Drosophila melanogaster: one gene and its partners. The protein of the gene in region 3 purifies or fractionates together with the protein of the main gene of each other region. This does not show direct contact. Each region holds a gene or a part of one and is shown on either strand. Other genes may lie near its edges.

What was found. Proteins that work in one complex are often made in the same cells at the same time.
Region 1: the proteins of Su(var)2-10 (region 3) and egg purify together in Drosophila melanogaster (affinity purification with western blotting; 2 studies listed by BioGRID). This does not show direct contact.
Region 2: the proteins of Su(var)2-10 (region 3) and MEP-1 purify together in Drosophila melanogaster (affinity purification with western blotting; one study listed by BioGRID). This does not show direct contact.

The regions. Positions count from the first base shown.
Region 1 is NT_033778.4:24,774,994-24,781,707, reverse strand, and holds egg (eggless), read left to right. Parts: upstream 1-1,806; 5' UTR 1,807-1,894; coding exon 1,895-2,833; intron 2,834-2,891; coding exon 2,892-3,009; intron 3,010-3,080; coding exon 3,081-3,364; intron 3,365-3,417; coding exon 3,418-3,673; intron 3,674-3,735; coding exon 3,736-4,241; intron 4,242-4,299; coding exon 4,300-5,061; intron 5,062-5,132; coding exon 5,133-5,849; intron 5,850-5,907; coding exon 5,908-6,114; 3' UTR 6,115-6,174; downstream 6,175-6,714. Other genes in the region: CG3594 (uncharacterized protein), read right to left, coding at 1-750; Lcp9 (larval cuticle protein 9), read left to right, coding at 1,339-1,350, 1,407-1,673. UniProt on the Drosophila melanogaster protein: Histone methyltransferase that specifically trimethylates 'Lys-10' of histone H3 (H3K9me3) in ovary. H3K9me3 represents a specific tag for epigenetic transcriptional repression by recruiting Su(var)205/HP1 to methylated histones.
Region 2 is NT_037436.4:2,630,111-2,634,754, forward strand, and holds the start of MEP-1 (MEP-1), read left to right. Parts: upstream 1-1,604; 5' UTR 1,605-1,701; coding exon of another isoform or gene 1,702-1,806; exon of another isoform or gene 1,807-1,866; coding exon of another isoform or gene 1,867-2,011; intron 2,012-2,164; exon of another isoform or gene 2,165-2,356; intron 2,357-3,427; coding exon of another isoform or gene 3,428-3,633; 5' UTR 3,634-3,699; intron 3,700-4,644. Other genes in the region: CG42245 (uncharacterized protein), read left to right, coding at 1,702-1,806, 1,867-2,011, 3,428-3,633.
Region 3 is NT_033778.4:9,114,199-9,121,340, forward strand, and holds Su(var)2-10 (suppressor of variegation 2-10), read left to right. Parts: upstream 1-1,923; 5' UTR 1,924-2,124; coding exon 2,125-2,253; intron 2,254-2,419; exon of another isoform or gene 2,420-2,958; coding exon of another isoform or gene 2,959-2,979; coding exon 2,980-3,654; intron 3,655-3,718; coding exon 3,719-3,959; intron 3,960-4,016; coding exon 4,017-4,251; intron 4,252-4,307; coding exon 4,308-4,474; intron 4,475-4,540; coding exon 4,541-4,629; intron 4,630-4,689; coding exon of another isoform or gene 4,690-4,701; coding exon 4,702-4,849; coding exon of another isoform or gene 4,850-4,875; exon of another isoform or gene 4,876-5,554; coding exon of another isoform or gene 5,555-5,633; exon of another isoform or gene 5,634-5,712; coding exon of another isoform or gene 5,713-5,755; exon of another isoform or gene 5,756-5,907; intron 5,908-6,101; coding exon 6,102-6,340; 3' UTR 6,341-6,579; coding exon of another isoform or gene 6,580-6,608; 3' UTR 6,609-6,618; downstream 6,619-7,142. Other genes in the region: Phax (phosphorylated adaptor for RNA export), read left to right, coding at 150-194, 253-985, 1,041-1,132, 1,186-1,462, 1,521-1,735.

The sequences.
Region 1 (6,714 bases), about 16 Mb from region 3:
TGTGGGTCTGGGGGCGGGCTTTTTGCGCCACCGCTTTCGCGCCAGCATTTCCTTGGCCTTCTCCTTTTTCAGGTCCTTGTCGTAAAACTTGCCGCTCTTCGTGAAGGTCTTCTGCTCGTTGCGCATCTCGGCCAGCTTTCGGTTCTTCTGTTTGATGATGTTCTTCTTGTTGGCCGACTTCTTCTTGCCCGCCTCGGAGATCTGCACCTTGATGTTGCGTCCCTGCAGCTCTGTGTTGTGCAGCTGGAAGGCATTCTGGAAACTGCTTAGGTCGGCCATTTCCACAAAGGCGAAGCCCCCTCGTCGCTTCTTGGGAATGCGGATAGACTTGACCGTGCCTGCCGCAGAGAAGTGCAGCTCCAGGTCGTCCTTTGTGGTTTCGAAGTTCAGGTTCGTCACGTACAGGACGTGTCTGTTGGTTTTGGAGGCTCCTCGAAGCAGTGAACTCAGCTGGTCACTGGTTATCTGCCCATTTTCCGCAGATTCCTCTTCCTCGGCTCCGGAAGCAGCACTGCCCTCAGCGGCTGCCTCGTCGTCGGACTTGGCCTCATCCTCGCTCTTACTATCCTCCGGGTCACTGGGATTCCGTCCGTCCTCCTTGTCCACATACGTGCCCTCGAAGATCTCCCTTCGCTTCTGGTCATCGAAGTTTCCCAATAGATCCGCACTGTCGTCGTTGACTGTGCGTTGAACTCGCTTGGGATTGAAGAAAGCCTCCACCTCATAATCGCTGCCAGAATCACTGGCCATCGTGATATTTCTGGGGGAGATTGCAGTGCACACCGATACGCAGACACCACCACGTGGGATTCCCTCTGAATGGCAAATCTGTGCGGTCCCAGACATTTTCCAGCACTGGCTAATTGCGCGCCAAGAAATTCAAATCCCAGGCCATATTGCAATCGCAGCTTGTTAGAAACCGGTTGCAACTGCGGGAGCAAAATCAGACTGCTAATGGAGTTATGCGAAAATAATGCTAATCGGCGTTAGCATCGAAGGAACCGGTTAGCTCTTATCAGCTAAAAATTAATCGTGCGGTGCTGACAATTGATGAACGTGGTTGTTTTGGGAATCTTCCGCACAGATCTCCAAAGATAACCCCCCGAATATGATATGCCGAGTGGGGCGATAATTAATGCCTGCAGAATGACTGCATCTATGTCTTTTGTTTAATTAAGACAAACGACCGCTGGGAGCCAGTTATGAAGAAAATTTATGCAGTTGGTGATTCCGGCCGGTAAAATGTCAGTGGAGAGCTACATATAAAAGCGCAATTTTCGGCAACCAGCAGTCAAAATTTTATCGCTATCTATCAGCACACACATCCCCTTTCCAACCATGAAGTTTGTGGTAAGTGGCATCGAAATTAGATTTTGGGGACCTCTGAACAACGATTTGTCTTTTAGATCGTTCTTGCCTGCCTTTTGGCCGTGGTCTTCGCCAACGAGGAGGCTGATGTTGTAAAGAGCGACTCCGAGGTTAACTTGCTGGACTTTAACTACGCTTATGAGCTATCCAACCATATTCGCGCCGTGCAAACTGGAGCCTTGAAGGAGCACGACAACTGGGTGGTTTCCGGGGAGTACGAGTACGTGGCCCCCAACGGCAAGACCGTCAAAGTGGTCTACACCGCCGATGAAACCGGCTACCACCCAAAGGTCGTCGAGGCCTAATGAACAGGACCCACTCCCGAAGACCGAAATAAAAAATTAAATCCATTGCAGCAGCGAACATTTTGAATTTCCGTTCTTTTTCTTTTGTGTGAATAGACACTCTTCTTCTTTCTGCCACTAAAATCTAGGGCTGGCAAATTACGAGCGAAATTTTATACAATGTTATCGCTTGTCTCGCAAATTTGCATTAATGTGTAAAGTTAAGTAAACTCATTAAAACTATGTCTGGGCAGCCAACAGCCGTGGACTGCTTAGAGAGCAGTGGAAGCACAGTGGAGGATGTCCAAGAAACACCGGCGTCGAGGGAAAAAAGTTACGGGTTGCCGGTGCGCAAAGGAGAAAATAGCTTGGAGTCTCCTGCAGAACAAGCCGCAAAGGATGTGGAAATTGAGGAACTGACACACAGTGAAGCAATCGCCGCCACCGGTTCAACCAGGAAGCAGTGCCCATATGGAGGTAAGGCCCCTGATGAACCTGGAAAGTTGGCCGACGAATCGGAGGACCGCAAGGGAGAGAACACGAAAGCCATTGCAAGCAGCCCGGTTTTGGTAGCTGTGGATTCGGACAGCAGTGTTGAGCTAATAGAGAGTCCTGTCAAATTCTCCTCCGCCAACGAAAGTGAGAAAGATCCGCCAAAACCAGATGCTGTCAATGAAGCTGCGGCTAAAGAGGCCGAGGAAATGACTGATAGCAGCATCAGCAGTCCCACATCCGAAAGTTTTCCTGAAAAAGATGAAAAGACCAATAAGGAAAATGAGCAAGAACCTCCTGGCATGGAGGTAGATCAGGACGTCGAGGAGTCAATAAGTCGACCAGCAGAAGAATACAAAATTGAGAATACATTAAAAGGTCACAAGCGTATTAGCTTAACGGAAATCGAAGAACACAAAATTGTTGATAAAAAAGACGATGTCCTAGAGGTGGAGCTTGAAAAGGGCACTGCTCCGAAAGCTGCAGAAGACGAGAAGCTGAACGCTTTGTTATCAGATGGAGATGTCTTCTACGACAAGGAATGTGTCAACTGCAATTGCACAAAGCTTCATAAACAGTACGTGTTGGCTAACATGGCCACTTTAAACTTTTACCAGGTGCTCCGAAAGTCTTCCAAGCAGCAGTTCCTCTGCATGGGATGCCATGACACAGCAATGGACTTGTATGAGGTCAACTAGCATATTTATTAACTTAAGAGGGAAACTTAGAACGTATTTCTTTATTTAGGAGTATGCTGGACAACTAATGGCCAAGCAGCCGCTGCTGCTAAAGGATTTCCATCAGGATCACGCCGACTTTGTGGCTCTGGACAGCAGCGATGAGGAGGAAGAGGAGAAGCAGCCAGGTGAGACTGCTATCATGATAAATAAACAATAGCAAAAAAAAAAACGTACTAAATATATTTTATCCGCACAGAAAAATCGGACTTTTCGAAAAACAAGCTGCAGCTCATCGAAGATGAACTCGATGATGCCATCAAAAATGTACTTAACAAGGTGGATTTTACGGCTCAGCTGTCCTGGTCAAAAACTATTCTCCAGGCGAAAGCAGACCACTTGGAGCGACAATTCGCACTGGCAGATGTGGAACTCGAAAAAGTTCAGACCACCGCTGACAAAATGCACTGCGCTTTGTATAACTCGTGTCCGGTGGCACACAAACATCTGCCCACCCTGGACATTGAACCCAGTGACTATGTGGTAAGTAAGAAGTGATGCCGTTTGGATCTGATTTAATACAACCATTTACTCAGCATGAAGTTCCACCTCCTGGCGAAATCGTGCGTCCTCCAATACAGTTGGGAGAGACATACTACGCTGTTAAGAACAAGGCTATTGCCAGCTGGGTGTCCATAAAGGTAATCGAGTTTACAGAGAGCACCGCCATCAACGGAAACACGATGAAGAGCTACAAGATTAGGTACCTCAACACTCCGTACCAGATGATCAAGACAGTGACGGCCAAGCACATTGCCTACTTCGAACCACCGCCAGTGCGACTGACCATTGGTTAGTTCCCAATAGACCGGTTATTTATCAATCTATAAACTAACCCACTCATTGTGCACTAGGTACCCGCGTGATTGCGTACTTCGATGGCACCACTTTGTCGCGGGGCAAGGATAAGGGCGTGGTGCAGAGCGCCTTTTATCCAGGCATCATCGCTGAGCCGTTGAAGCAGGCCAATCGCTACCGCTACCTAATATTCTACGACGATGGGTACACTCAGTACGTTCCGCACCGCGATGTCCGTCTAGTTTGCCAGGCTTCCGAGAAAGTGTGGGAGGACGTACACGCCGCATCGCGCGATTTCATACAGAAGTACGTGGAGAAGTACTCCGTGGATCGTCCAATGGTGCAATGCACCCGGGGACAAAGTATGACCACTGAATCGAACGGGACCTGGCTGTACGCGCGCGTCATTGACATCGACTGCAGCTTGGTGTTGATGCAGTTTGAGGGCGACAAAAACCATACGGAGTGGATATACAGGGGTTCATTGCGCTTGGGTCCTGTCTTCAGGGAAACCCAGAACAATATGAACAGTTCAAGCGCACAGCAGCTGCGTGTCCCAAGAGTAAGCATCGTGTCGATTCATCCTGCGGTCCTAACTACAAAATGTCTTTCTTTTTCAGCGCACGGAGCCCTTTATTCGGTACACCAAGGAGATGGAGTCCAGCAGCAAGGTGAACCAGCAGATGCGTGCCTTTGCCCGCAAGAGCAGCGCCTCCGCCCAAAATAACGCATTAGCGGCTGCATCTTCGGCAGCAACCCCAGCCGGAGGACGCACCAATGCAGGAGGTGTCAGCACCAGTAATAGCGCAAGTGCTGTGCGACACCTAAACAACTCGACAATCTACGTGGACGACGAGAACAGGCCCAAGGGCCATGTAGTCTACTTTACAGCCAAGCGGAATCTGCCTCCCAAAATGTACAAGTGCCACGAGTGCAGCCCGAACTGCCTCTTTAAGATCGTTCACCGTCTGGACAGCTACAGTCCGTTAGCGAAGCCTCTGCTTTCTGGCTGGGAACGTCTTGTCATGCGGCAGAAGACCAAGAAGTCTGTGGTATACAAGGGACCTTGTGGCAAAAGCTTGCGCAGCCTGGCCGAAGTTCACAGGTACCTTCGAGCTACTGAAAATGTGTTGAACGTAGACAATTTTGACTTTACGCCCGACCTCAAGTGTCTGGCCGAGTACTCCATTGATCCCTCGATCGTGAAGGACACGGACATTTCAAAGGGGCAGGAGAAGATGGCGATTCCGCTGGTAAACTACTACGACAACACCCTGCCGCCCCCATGCACCTACGCGAAGCAGCGCATCCCTACCGAGGGTGTTCATCTGAATCTGGACGAGGAGTTCCTCTTGTGCTGCGACTGCGAGGACGACTGCTCGGTAAGACGTCTTACAGATCTGATTACCTCAAATTATACCCAGCCGCCCACTATTTTGTGTATCCCTATCAGGACAAGTCAAAGTGCGCCTGTTGGCAGCTAACGGTGGCGGGCGTGCGGTACTGTAACCCGAAGAAACCCATCGAGGAGATAGGCTACCAGTACAAGCGGCTCCACGAGCACGTGCCCACCGGCATCTACGAGTGCAACTCGCGCTGCAAGTGCAAGAAGAATTGCCTGAACCGGGTGGTGCAGTTCTCCCTAGAGATGAAACTGCAGGTGTTCAAGACCTCAAATCGTGGATGGGGCTTGCGCTGCGTTAACGACATCCCCAAGGGTGCTTTCATCTGTATTTACGCCGGCCATCTGCTCACGGAGACGATGGCCAACGAAGGCGGACAGGACGCCGGCGACGAGTATTTCGCGGACTTAGATTACATAGAGGTCGCTGAACAGTTAAAAGAGGGATACGAGTCGGAGGTGGACCACTCGGACCCGGACGCCGAGGAGGACAACGGGGGACCCGATGCCGAGGACGATGACGACTTCCGGCCAAACTATCACTACCAGCGCAAAATCAAGCGCTCTTCCAGAAGCGGCTCCACGCAGAACAGCTCCACTCAGAGCAGCGAGTTGGACTCGCAGGAGCGTGCGGTGATCAACTTTAACCCAAATGCTGATCTGGACGAGACGGTGCGGGAGAACTCGGTGCGGAGGCTTTTCGGCAAGGACGAGGCGCCCTACATCATGGACGCCAAGACAACGGGCAACCTTGGACGCTATTTCAACGTGAGTTGGAAGTTTTTTGTTATTTTGCCGTGTGGCTGATTCTCTTCTTCTCCCGCAGCACTCGTGCAGCCCCAATCTCTTCGTGCAGAACGTGTTCGTGGATACTCACGACCTGCGTTTCCCCTGGGTTGCCTTCTTCTCGGCCGCGCACATCCGCTCCGGCACCGAGCTGACTTGGAACTACAATTACGAGGTGGGCGTGGTGCCCGGCAAGGTGTTGTACTGCCAGTGCGGGGCCCCCAATTGCCGCCTTCGTCTGCTCTAAGTTCTAGCTTAAGTTAGAGATCCATACAGGAAATATACTCATTAAAGAAGAATTAGAATTAAAAATTTAAACTTTAAACATTATCTGTTCCGTTAGGGTAACGGAAACATTGCATTTTTATAAGCTACTGCTGTTCTGCACCGTCCGTTTCAAAGTACACAATTTTCTTCACGTTTAGTGTTAAAGGAATAAATATAGACAAATGAATTTTAAAAAATTATACTTTAAAAAAATAATAATGTTCGTTAATTTAACGGTATTAATTTATGTGGTATTTTAACGCATTTTACCTAGTGGTATACTTAATCATCAGCCGTACGGTATTTTTAATCGTTATCCGAACGGTCACACTATCCACCGAGCAAAAAAGCAAATTTAGGCTTTTTAAAATTCGAGAGTAGCTAAATTAGGGGCCGCAATGCGCCAAGCTCACCTGTAAGTGGCTCCAGCAAGTGTCTCGTCGCAGGTGCACAGGTGCTAGGCAGCAGGACTCCGCCGACGGCTGACTAAGAGCAGCTTATCCGCCCCTTGGGAAGAAAAAATCGATTTTGTGATAACGGGCTTACGCTTACGCGTTTTTGCACTGCTAGTCGGAACCAA
Region 2 (4,644 bases), on a different chromosome or scaffold from region 3:
CCGAGTTGCACTTCGGCAGAGGCGGAGGACTCCGTGCCGGATGCAGACTGTGATAACATTTTCCTGAGGCTCTGCGTTCTCAAGAGTGCTCGATATTAGTTGGCCGGCATGTGACTTGAAGCCTATGGATTCTGAATGGGACGGTCGGATGGATGACTCTATATCCAGCATATAGCATCGTATCCGTATCAAGGCCGAAACACTTGTGTTGCACCGGCATTTTCAATGTATTTTCAATGCGGACGCAAAGCGAGCAAAACAAAACACAACAAGCATACGCCACGTTGCACTTGCACAGCATCAAATGCCCTGCCATCCTCATTTTTAATGCATGAGGGGGTGCTCCCTCCACCCGGCCACACTCCATTTGTTTTTCCAACCATCGCTGTGGATTGCGTAGCGATTGGGGGCTGCAGCTCCGAAACTGTTCGCTTAAGCGGTCGGTGATAAGACGCGAAATCAAATTTAAAAGCTATCAATTTGATATTAGTTCGGGGACCGACGAAAATCCTTCGGGGGAAAAGCTGCTGCCGCGTGCCAGAATGCAGAAATCGGAGTTTTTCATGGGGAATTCGTTCACGGAAAAACAAAAGGAATATATTTGAAATATAAATTTATGTTTTATTGTCATATTTTTCACTGGATATGACACTAATTTAATTCTTCTCTATCTGTCAGTCTACAGATATTTGTTTGGGTTTATGCAAAAAAAAAACCAAAAAAAAAAAACTTTTGTTTAGCTCCTCTCACGTATTTTATTTATAACTAAACTAAATATATGAAACGCTGTTTTCTCAGTGCATCCTATTTGTGTTTTTGCCAACATATGCTGCAGCTCATAAAATTTCTCCGCTTTGCTGCAGTTTTCATTTGCCTTTTTTTTTCGGCAGCTCTTTTTTGGTTAGCTGTCGAAGTTTTGAAATCAATTTGCAGATGATTTATTATGTTCCCAGGAACGAATAGGGGGCTTCAATCGAGGAGGAGTCTGTGCATACGACATTGCAAATGGAAGCCACTGACGTTGATGAATGCCGCTGTGTATTGTTTTGCTGTCAGAAGCGATCAAATTTCTGTTTTGGAGCACGGAATTCCAGGTGAAGCGGAAAATTTGCAAGTTATGCGACAGTTTTATGCGCCCATTTTTTGATTGGCAGCGAGGATTCGCAAATTGATGGCACGTCTCGGGGCAATCGGTTTTCTCAGCGGAAATGCCAGTTGGAAATGGGAACTTAAGATACTTAAAGAAATGCATCAAAAATAATAGGATAAATATTATATATTTATAGAAATTTTTAAGAAATATTAACTCTTTATCAACAGTAAGCATTTTCAAAAAGTAACCGCTTTTGCCTAACAGTGCTGCCCATCTACAATTGGTTTTCAGGCAGCACTATGCACACGGCAGTACAGCTGTTACTTATCGGTGCTATCGATAAATATCAAGGACTCAAAAATTGGGACTAATAATATTAAAAGAGCAAGCTTAAACTTTAACATTATAACTATTAAAACTGGATTTACAATTGTCTTACGTTACTTTAAAGTATAGCAGTTGAAATCGATTTAGTATTGTCAACGCGCGCTTTCCCACACTGCTCGATAAGCATATGTTTTTCTTATCGACATTTGTGGTAAATAAAAAGTGCAAAAACCGCTGCTAAATCGGTCAAGAAGTGCAATGATATAGCCGCCATATCTGATATGTCCAAGCGCAACATAACGTACGTAAAGCCGCAAGAACCTAGTTTTCTGGCCAAGTTGAAGGCTGAAATTGGCTACAAGGAGGGACCCACCGTAGAGACCAAGGTGAGTTCTACGGGGAAGGCCTCTGCAGCATTCTAATGCGGATATATAACCATTGGTTAGCGTCAGCGATTGGATCCGCAGGACCAGGAGGACTACGATTCTGAGGAAGATTCACGGGAGGACGAACAGCCGCAGGTGGTCGTCCTTAGGCCGGGAGATCTATCCGCCGAAGAGGCCAAAACGGAGAAACTGTTGGCCTCCAAAGGTCGGTACATATGTACAAGCATACATACATACATATCGCTGTAGTACATACATACTTACACGCTCGCACACGCACACACACATGCATATAGCCCACGGTGGCGGCGGCGGCAGTTGCACGTGTGTGCGTAGGTAGGATGTTGTAGTTTGTCTTTCAGTTTAACTTTTCAGTCAGAATCGAGCGGTTGTCTTCTTCTGCCCGGCGTTACATATATCTAAATCATATATGTATATATACATAACTGCGTATATACCGTTGCTTATGTATGAGTGCGCGCGTGTGCTTGTGCATTTTTGCCAAATGAAAATCTAACGGTAGTGCGAAAACAGCAGTTTGTTGCAAGAAGTATGTGTTTTTTTTTTCGAAAAGCACCTTCGGTTTTTCAATCTTTTTAAAGCCCTATGTTGCCATGGCAATCTTGGTCATTTCCGTCCTAAAGATTCCCTTTTTTGCCCAGCGGAGCACCCCTCACACAGACACACACACCCGCAGCAGCTAGCCGACGAGGCATACACACTGACATTTTCATTGGGGGCTCCGCCAAAGCAGAGCATGTGATGAAAATCGTTGGCAAAGCGGGCGCGGCGATAAAGCAGCCGGCAAAGAAGTTAACAACAGCAGCTGCCGCCGCTCGCTTTGTCCGCCTCTTCCGCTCGCCCCCCTGCCCCTTTCAGCCCCACTTGGAAGAGCGCAGAAAATCGGGTGAAAACAACGTGTGCAAGAACGAACGGATGAAGGAGGCGGGCAAAGCGGAGAGACAATGATGAACGAAGCAGGCGAGCAAAGAGGAAAAGAGCGGGCCAAAGTGGCTTGACGACGTGGTGGCGGTGGCAAAGGCGCTGCGGGGAGGGGGTAGGCGTTGAAGAAGGGGCTGGCGGAACAGCGGGGGCGGGTTGCGAATCAGTGGGTGGAGCGGGAGGGGGAGTGAAGCGGGAGCGTCGGGCGAGAAGGGGCTTCCCAGGGCCGAGAAAAACATCTTGTGGGTGCTGCTTGGAAAAGGGGGGGGTCGGTGGGTGGCTTGTTCTGATTTACACCTCCCTCCTCCCCATTTGTCATGCTGCAGTTTTTAAAACCCAGATACATTTTCCAATCCAATAATGAATTGCTGGCATATTAGTCACCTTCCTGGCAATTTTATAAGCAGATCAATTTTCAAAAACTTTCTTGTATTCCTTTTAGTTAATGCAATTTTTAAATTTATTTTATTTATATCAGCTTTGATATATGTATTGGCATTTTTCTCCCTAAATTTGTGCATACTACTTTCCCCAAAATATTTTTCATTCTAAGATAGTTTATATAACTTAAATACTCCATTTAACTTGTAAATAGGTGTTTACTTACACGCTTTACTACGATCATAATAAGTACAGATGATTGCTGACCCATAACTAACTCCCATTTTCAATCTTCCAGAATTAGCCGAAAAGCGAGCGGATCTGACGCAGCCAATAGTCTTCAAACACTGTGTCAAGCAGCCCAACATCGAGAAAAAAGAGTCCCAATCTGAAACCAACAAGAAGTCCGAAAAATCCAGCACATCCAAGAGCAAGAAGTCCAAGGCCGCCAGTAGTAAGCTGTCCTTCAACGAGGACGAGGAGGACGAGACTGCCGAGGATTGAAGATCACACCTTAGTTATCTGGCTATAAGTTGAACCAACCAAGTTAACCTGCAGCGAATGATTAAGGTGAGAAATTCAGGTCAAAAACAGCAAATGATTGTTAACTATGCTTTGTATTTCTTTGTTGCCATGTGAATTTATGAGTTTAATAATGGGGTTTCCATATGTATGTGTTAAAATCCAACTCGCAATGACGCTGTCATCATAGATTGTAGATTTTTCACCAAAGAACTAAACTGTATACTCAAGTTGATATGATATAGTATATATTTGAGTTTTTGCATTAAACATATGCATGTATTGCTGATTTATTGTTATTTAGAAATGAATCATTGAGATTAGATCATGGTTTTGACACGTCGATCGTAAAAATAATTATAGAATTCTTTAAAGATCCCTTAGATTCCTACAACATGATTTTTTCCTAAAGCTTTTCCAAATTTATGTTTTTTAAATAAGTGTTACACGTTTTAAGTAAATTATTAGCATACTAATTATATTTATTATTATCACGTAATGTACTTTACGTGAATCATACTACTTGGAAAAATATTAGTGACTCAAAACCGAATATTTGTGGTGAAATTTTATGTTATTTTCTTCTTTTTTTTAATGTATCTAATGTTACATTTTTCCATTTCAATTGTGAGTTCTTAGTTGGGTTTGATATTCAATCCCAATACAGATTGATCTTAAATCTTGATCAAAGTCCGAAATCTGCTAGAGAAAGTCCTCGGACAACAGGATTATCTAAACTCTGATACCTAATATCTTATAATTTAATCACTTGATTAGAAGAAATGTGGTAAAGTCCTTTTTGATACATGCGATCAATCTCTTAAATTAGTATCTTGTATCTTTACTTTCGATTCAATTGACTTCACCTCTAAGATATTAAGACCCAACTGCCACAGTAATTTCCGCTTAACTTTGTAAATTTGCACTGGAAAATATGAATTGGCTAATTTACTCGATATCGAAAAGGGTCACGTGTATGTATAACATAAAGTT
Region 3 (7,142 bases):
TCTTTGCACTATTAAAGACCAATAATATAAACATAATAATTTAACTATGCACCAAGTAATCCTCAGTAAGTATGGTCACTCTGCCGCTCAGTGTTGCACAAACAGCTGCACTTTGGGCGAAGATTTTCTCTCGACTCGCCATAAAAAAAATGATGGAACTGCACGCAAATGACGTTGACCTGGAGGACGGCGAGGTAATCATAAGCACCCAGACTACCGAGCATCTAATGACCATATCTGCCGGCCTTTCAGCTATCGGAGAGCGACGATGATGGCGTTTACACGCCGTTGCAGCGACCTGACGGTGCGGAGAAGGTGGCCAGTCCCCTTACCACCTGCCATCAGATCCAGACTGCGTTAGAGGACGAGTCACAAAGCAACAGCGACTCCTCGACTGCCGAATCCTCCGAGGACGGGTGCATCAAGAAGCTTCGTACGGAATCCACCGGACCCGACGGCCACAAGAAGCGGAAAAAGCGCATTCGGCGCACGGTAATGCGGCGCGTTCCGCCCACGGATGCTGAAATGCAACCGAATCGAGCCCGTTTCAAGAAGTACAACGTGTGGGCTTCTGCCCTGCAAGAGGATGCGCTCAGCGAGAATATGCGTGGCTGCGACGTTACCCGAAGCGGTCGGGATCGAAATGTTGAAAACTACGACTTCTCATTGCGATACCGGCTGAACGGCGAGAACACTCTAAAGCGACGACTCTCAAACTCTTCGGAGGACGGCGGCGAATGCTCCCATCCAGCTCACAAGAGGGGAAGACCTTCTAGTCGGCCCATCACCGGGAATCAACAGCGCGGTTTGGTCAAGAGTAGAACGGGTCACCGGTCACGTCGTGGGACATCTTCGGCCAGCGGATCTTCCGATTTCTGCGAGCCCAGACACATTCTGGACTTAAACGAAGTGGGTGAGAGAGATCCTTCGGATGTGGCTACCGAAATGGCCAGCAAACTGTACGAGGAAAAGGACGAATTACTTGGTGAGTATGTGAAATAAATAATGCCCTACTTAGTAAATAATGCCAGTTTTACCAGTTCGAGTCGTGGAGGTTCTTGGCATAGATGTGTGCCTAGAGCTATACAAGGAAACTCAGCGCATTGAAGCCGATGGCGGCATGATGATCAAAGTAAGTAGTAAAGGATGTTCCCCCGAATATACTAACACGATACCTCGAAACAGAACGGCATACGGAGACGTACACCAGGCGGGGTATTCCTGTTCCTAATAAAGCACCACGATAACATCACTCAGGAGCAGCAGAAGCGCATTTTTAGTGAGGATCGCCAGAGTCTGAGCAAGTCTCGAAAGCAGATCGAAACGTTGATGCGGGACCGTAAGGTGGAAGAGTTGAAGAAGTGCCTCAGCAAGCAGGTTACGGAACTGCCGACGTTAAATCAGCGCAAAGAGTACTACATGCAGGGCGACGAGCAAAGTGAAGATAAGCAACCGGGCAGCTGTAAGAAGATCCCATTATTATTGTTAAATCTCCTATGTGACTATTTTGACTATTTCAGTGTCCAACCCGCCACCCTCCCCTGTTGGCGCTGAGCAGGAGCACGACAGCCCTGAGTACAGGACCCACGAGATCAATATAAATCTTGTGGACAATGCGGAACTTCCCTCCACATCCAAAGCAGCGGCGGCGGCTCAGGGAGCGCCGCTGAAGGATTTAATCAGCTACGACCACGACTTTCTGGACGTCAATTGCGGGGACATGGACTTTTTCTAGGCCCACGCCAAGCGGCGGGCCCCTTTTATACTATTCTTGCATAGATAGACCCATATTTGTACAATTAAATAAATGCCTAGCGAATTAGGAATCTACGAAAGTAACGGTTGCTAACAAAGTAAACAAACGCACGCGTTAGGGCATTTTCGGGCTGCGTGAGACAAGACTCGGCCAGGCGGTAGAGATTTCCGCAGTGTCGATCGATAGTGTCAACTCTAGTCGGCCCACAGCGACGACGCCGCGTAAAATATTTTTGTTTCTCCGCATTCGTTGAAAAACAGCGGCAATTGCTTGTTTTTATGTGTGGTGCGCGTCCCAGGCAAATGCAAACGAGTCCGCGACTTCAATTGCCGAACGCCTAACGCCACCGTGAATAGAAAATAATAGTGATGCGAAAGACCCGCTCTCAGACGGCTCGCACGCAGGCGGAAAATGCCGCAACATCTTCGAGCCCCGGGCACCAGTCGACTTCGTCAGCGCCAATAGCAGTTAATCCCTTTGATTCCACCAAGTACAAGGTATGTTTCCGCCAGTCTCAGTTTATTCAGTCCAAAGAATTTTTCATAAATATGGGGGCCATGGTTATTGATAAGCAGTGTGACCGCAGAAAAAAATGGTGTCTGTACCCTTCCCCACCCACGAACAGAGTGATTTGCCAGCCAAATCCGCCGGCGCTTAACAACACTATCATCCGCCATATTTCTTCAGACCGTGCGGACAAAACAAAATTCGTGTGACAAAAAAGGGGGCATTTTTGCGGTAGTTTGTTTAAGTGCAATTTGCGAAAGAAGGAAGGCTGCCAGTGGCGAACACAAGCCTTACCAAATTTTCTGCATATACCAACGTTAAAAGCCACTGAAACCCGATCGGTTCCACGAAAAGAAACTTTTTGCGAGAACGCCATGTTTGAGCATCTAGGTAATGATTTGGTGGCATGCGGCAGTTTCGGACCAGTAAATTATCCACAGATGGGAAAAATGTGGAAGCCAGGCTTTTGTCCGACTGTCAAGCAATCACTTGGCATATAATGTAGAGCGAATTTATGATTTTTTCTGCATAAAGCCGCACAAGGCATACGCATGTGTACATATGTGCGAAAACGCGATATTTGCATATAGAGCGCGCTTGTGTGTGTGTTCGTGTGGACGCTTGGTGCTAAGTCCCGCTATTTGGACATAGACACCTTCCCAATTTTCCGAAATACAAAATTTTCATTGTTCGCCATGCCATTTCCGTCTCTTCAGGAATGTGAGCAAATGGTGCAGATGCTTCGAGTGGTCGAGCTGCAAAAAATCCTGTCGTTTCTGAACATCTCATTCGCTGGACGAAAAACTGACCTGCAGAGCCGCATCCTCTCGTTCTTGCGCACCAACTTGGAACTGCTTGCCCCGAAGGTCCAGGAAGTCTACGCCCAGTCCGTGCAGGAACAAAACGCCACGCTGCAGTACATCGACCCAACCAGGATGTACTCGCACATCCAGCTGCCGCCCACCGTGCAGCCCAATCCCGTGGGCCTCGTGGGCAGCGGCCAAGGTGTGCAAGTGCCCGGCGGCCAGATGAATGTGGTCGGCGGCGCACCCTTCCTCCACACACACAGCATCAACAGCCAGCTGCCTATTCACCCCGATGTGCGGCTGAAAAAGCTAGCCTTCTACGATGTACTCGGAACGCTAATTAAGCCTTCAACTCTGGTGCCACGCAACACTCAGCGCGTCCAAGAGGTGCCTTTCTACTTCACGCTCACGCCGCAGCAGGCCACCGAGATTGCCTCTAATCGCGACATTCGCAACAGCTCCAAGGTGGAGCACGCCATTCAGGTTCAACTGCGCTTTTGCCTGGTGGAGACTTCGTGCGACCAGGAGGACTGCTTCCCGCCGAACGTAAACGTCAAAGTGAACAACAAACTCTGTCAGCTGCCTGTAAGTATTATCCGATTATCCAATCAGGACCTGGTATAATATCCTGCTCTTTATTCCAATGCAGAATGTCATTCCTACAAACCGACCAAATGTGGAGCCCAAGCGTCCGCCGCGACCCGTTAATGTCACGTCCAATGTAAAGCTGTCGCCTACCGTCACCAACACCATAACGGTTCAGTGGTGTCCGGACTACACTCGTAGCTACTGTCTGGCCGTATACCTGGTAAAGAAGCTCACCTCAACACAGCTTTTGCAGCGAATGAAGACGAAGGGCGTAAAACCAGCGGACTACACGCGAGGCTTAAGTGAGTTTTCTGTGCTCCAATGATGCAAACTTAATAATAAATACCATTTTTTTAAAGTCAAAGAGAAGCTGACTGAGGATGCTGACTGCGAAATAGCCACCACTATGCTGAAGGTTTCCCTTAACTGCCCGTTGGGCAAGATGAAAATGTTGCTGCCTTGTCGAGCATCAACCTGCTCGCATCTGCAATGCTTCGATGCCAGTCTCTACCTGCAAATGAATGAGCGTAAGCCCACGTGGAACTGCCCTGTATGCGACAAGCCGGCCATTTATGACAACCTGGTCATAGATGGGTAAGAAATGTCATTTCATTTAGCATATTTGTAACTGATTAAACTCTGTTTTCCAGCTACTTCCAGGAGGTGTTGGGCTCGTCGCTTCTAAAGAGTGATGATACTGAGATTCAACTTCATCAGGATGGATCTTGGAGCACACCAGGACTACGGAGCGAGACGCAGATCCTTGATACGCCTTCAAAGCCCGCCCAAAAGGTTGAGGTTATATCGGATGACATAGGTAATCGCCTAACACGCAACCTTTTAAATTGTTTTGACATTAATCAAGTTTTTCGGACATTACCAGAACTTATCTCGGATGACGCCAAGCCAGTAAAGAGGGATTTGTCCCCAGCACAGGACGAACAGCCCACATCAACGTCAAACAGTGAAACTGTAAGTAGAGAGCACCAATCTACAACCTACCAAACTGTCTTATCATATGACTGTATTCTGTCTGCGCAACAGGTTGACCTAACGTTAAGCGATTCAGACGACGACATGCCGCTGGCTAAGCGTCGTCCGCCCGCCAAGCAAGCCGTCGCCAGTTCCACGTCGAACGGCAGCGGTGGCGGCCAACGTGCCTATACCCCGGCACAGCAGCCCCAGCAATCCGGTACGTTGGATCCCTTTTTGCAATAAGCCAGTAACGAGAATTATATCTCTGTATAGCCAAGAAATCTTTATGTTTACAAATTGCTAATTGTAGACCCTAGGGTAAAGTAGTTATAAGAATCCATACACATCCCATTTACATACATCCACACTGACTCAACCACGCTTCGGCACCAATAATTTAGACAAAGGAATGAAATCCTAACAAGATCAAGCATTTAGGTTTCGGTTCACCTTTTACGGCACACCTCTAGGACATCATTTAACGTAAAAGTATTTTTTTGGTGCATCAATTGTCTTAAATAATATTAGAAAATTTTAACTGCAAAAGTTCGAAAGAGTATTCACATTGTCCAAAATGAAAATTACATATATGTTACATATGATTCTGACTTCATCATCACTTATTGTTATTCAAATATAATTAGGTCCCCGATTCCGCTTATGACTTTAGTGCATCATTTGATTTTAGTATGAGTACACCCAGTTAAAATTAACCCAATTTTACGTGTAGTATGTACAAACATATGTTTATGTTTCAAAAAAGTGACCAGAAGGGCTATTTATCATGATAATTTTGTGTTAGATCTACGGAGTCCAGCATCGAAAAGGTTTCCGTAGATTTCGTAAAATCCCCTAGCCAAAACTTGTATAGACTAAGTAGGCTATAAATTGACTCTATCCGCTTTCGTTGCTTGTATTGTAGGTGGTAATGTTTTTAAAAAACCTCAGAAAGCGGAGGAGCTTTACAAGCGTGTTCATTTAGGAGTTTGGCTGCGCCCACGGTATGTTTTCCGTCGATCGATTGTGAAATGGTTCGGGTTTGGAACAAGAATCCCATACTTAATCAGAACATTCTTACAGAAAACCCAAGCCAGAGAGCTCAAGGCGCCCAAACGTCGGCTAAGCAAAGTTAATAGAGTATTTTTCGGTTTTATACCACCATTTGTCCTAATTCATTTTCAATGTATTTTCTGTTGTCACCGAATCTAAATTATTTCACGATATGTACTCTTATTTTAAGTGATAATTTTAATAAATCATGCCAGTTTGTTAGTGAAGGTTTTTGTTGAGAGCCTCTTTTCCGATTGTTGTTGTGTTAACCTAAACCCAAGGTTATATGATGATAATAACTAAACTAATTCAAGTAACTTGTGCATTTCTTTGTCTTTTTTCTTTCTCTCTCTCTCTTTCTCTTCTTCCCCTGATCTTTTTGTGTGACCCGTCCATGCTGCCGCCGATGCAACTCGTAGAATCCCCAGAACAGCAGGCCAGCCGCCAATCGCCAGAGAAGCAGACAGTCTCAGAGCAGCAACTGCAGCAGCAACAGCACGAGCAGCCAGCGACGGCAGCCGTCCATGCCTCCCTCCTGGAATCCCTGGCTGCTGCGGTCGCGGATCAAAAGCACTTCCAACTGTTGGATCTGGCTGCGGTTGCGGCTGCTGCAGCTGCCACGGCGTCCTCCGGCCAGAGCCAGAATGCCGGCCCGTAGGCAGGACCCACATCCCACACACATTAATCGCACATCTCGCGGCTCGCGGTCTCTTACTGTTATGGTCCCTATATTGGCCCGTCCAGTTTCTGTTTTCGGTTTCACTTCCGGTGGCGCACGGCCACATATTACCTTAGAGGCTATTCTTCGGCGTTCGATTCGCCGCCTTGCATCACCTCATTATTCATACTCTATCAATCGCGAGCCACCAACTGATGCTTGTAATTCTTGTGTTGCAGGACGCAGGCATAACAGACAGGTTTTGTAGGAGAGGGTCCCCTGTTCCCGAATGAATCCATGTGCTCCCCCATCGGCCAGATTGTTGCTGCCCCTTTTTTCAGTTGGCTCACACCAAAACACTTTGCTTACGTCCCGTGTCTTTTATTCGTGTCGTCTCGAGTAGTTAGTTGTGTTACGCTTTGCCAGCGCTCTCAGCAACACACGCCACACCACACAGCAACTGAAATATTCCTAGATATTGCAAATACACAAACTAGCACCAGCATTAATTAGCAATTACTATAGGAAACGCAATTAATTTATTTTCCATTGAAGCGGTCAGCGCAATGAACACTATGAGGAAAGCGAAATGAAAGGATGCATGCCAGGCGGCGGCCAGTCGCGGCACCAAAATTTAAAGTAGTTAAGTTATTTTAGTTAAACTACGGATTCTGTACGGATTGGAGGCGGTGCTGTGTGCAGTTGGAGGGTGTTGCAGTCCTCGCATTTAAGTTACGTTGCAAGACAGGGCGGAATGGCATATGGCATTAAAGGTCCATAGTATTGAAAGCAATCGAAGCCG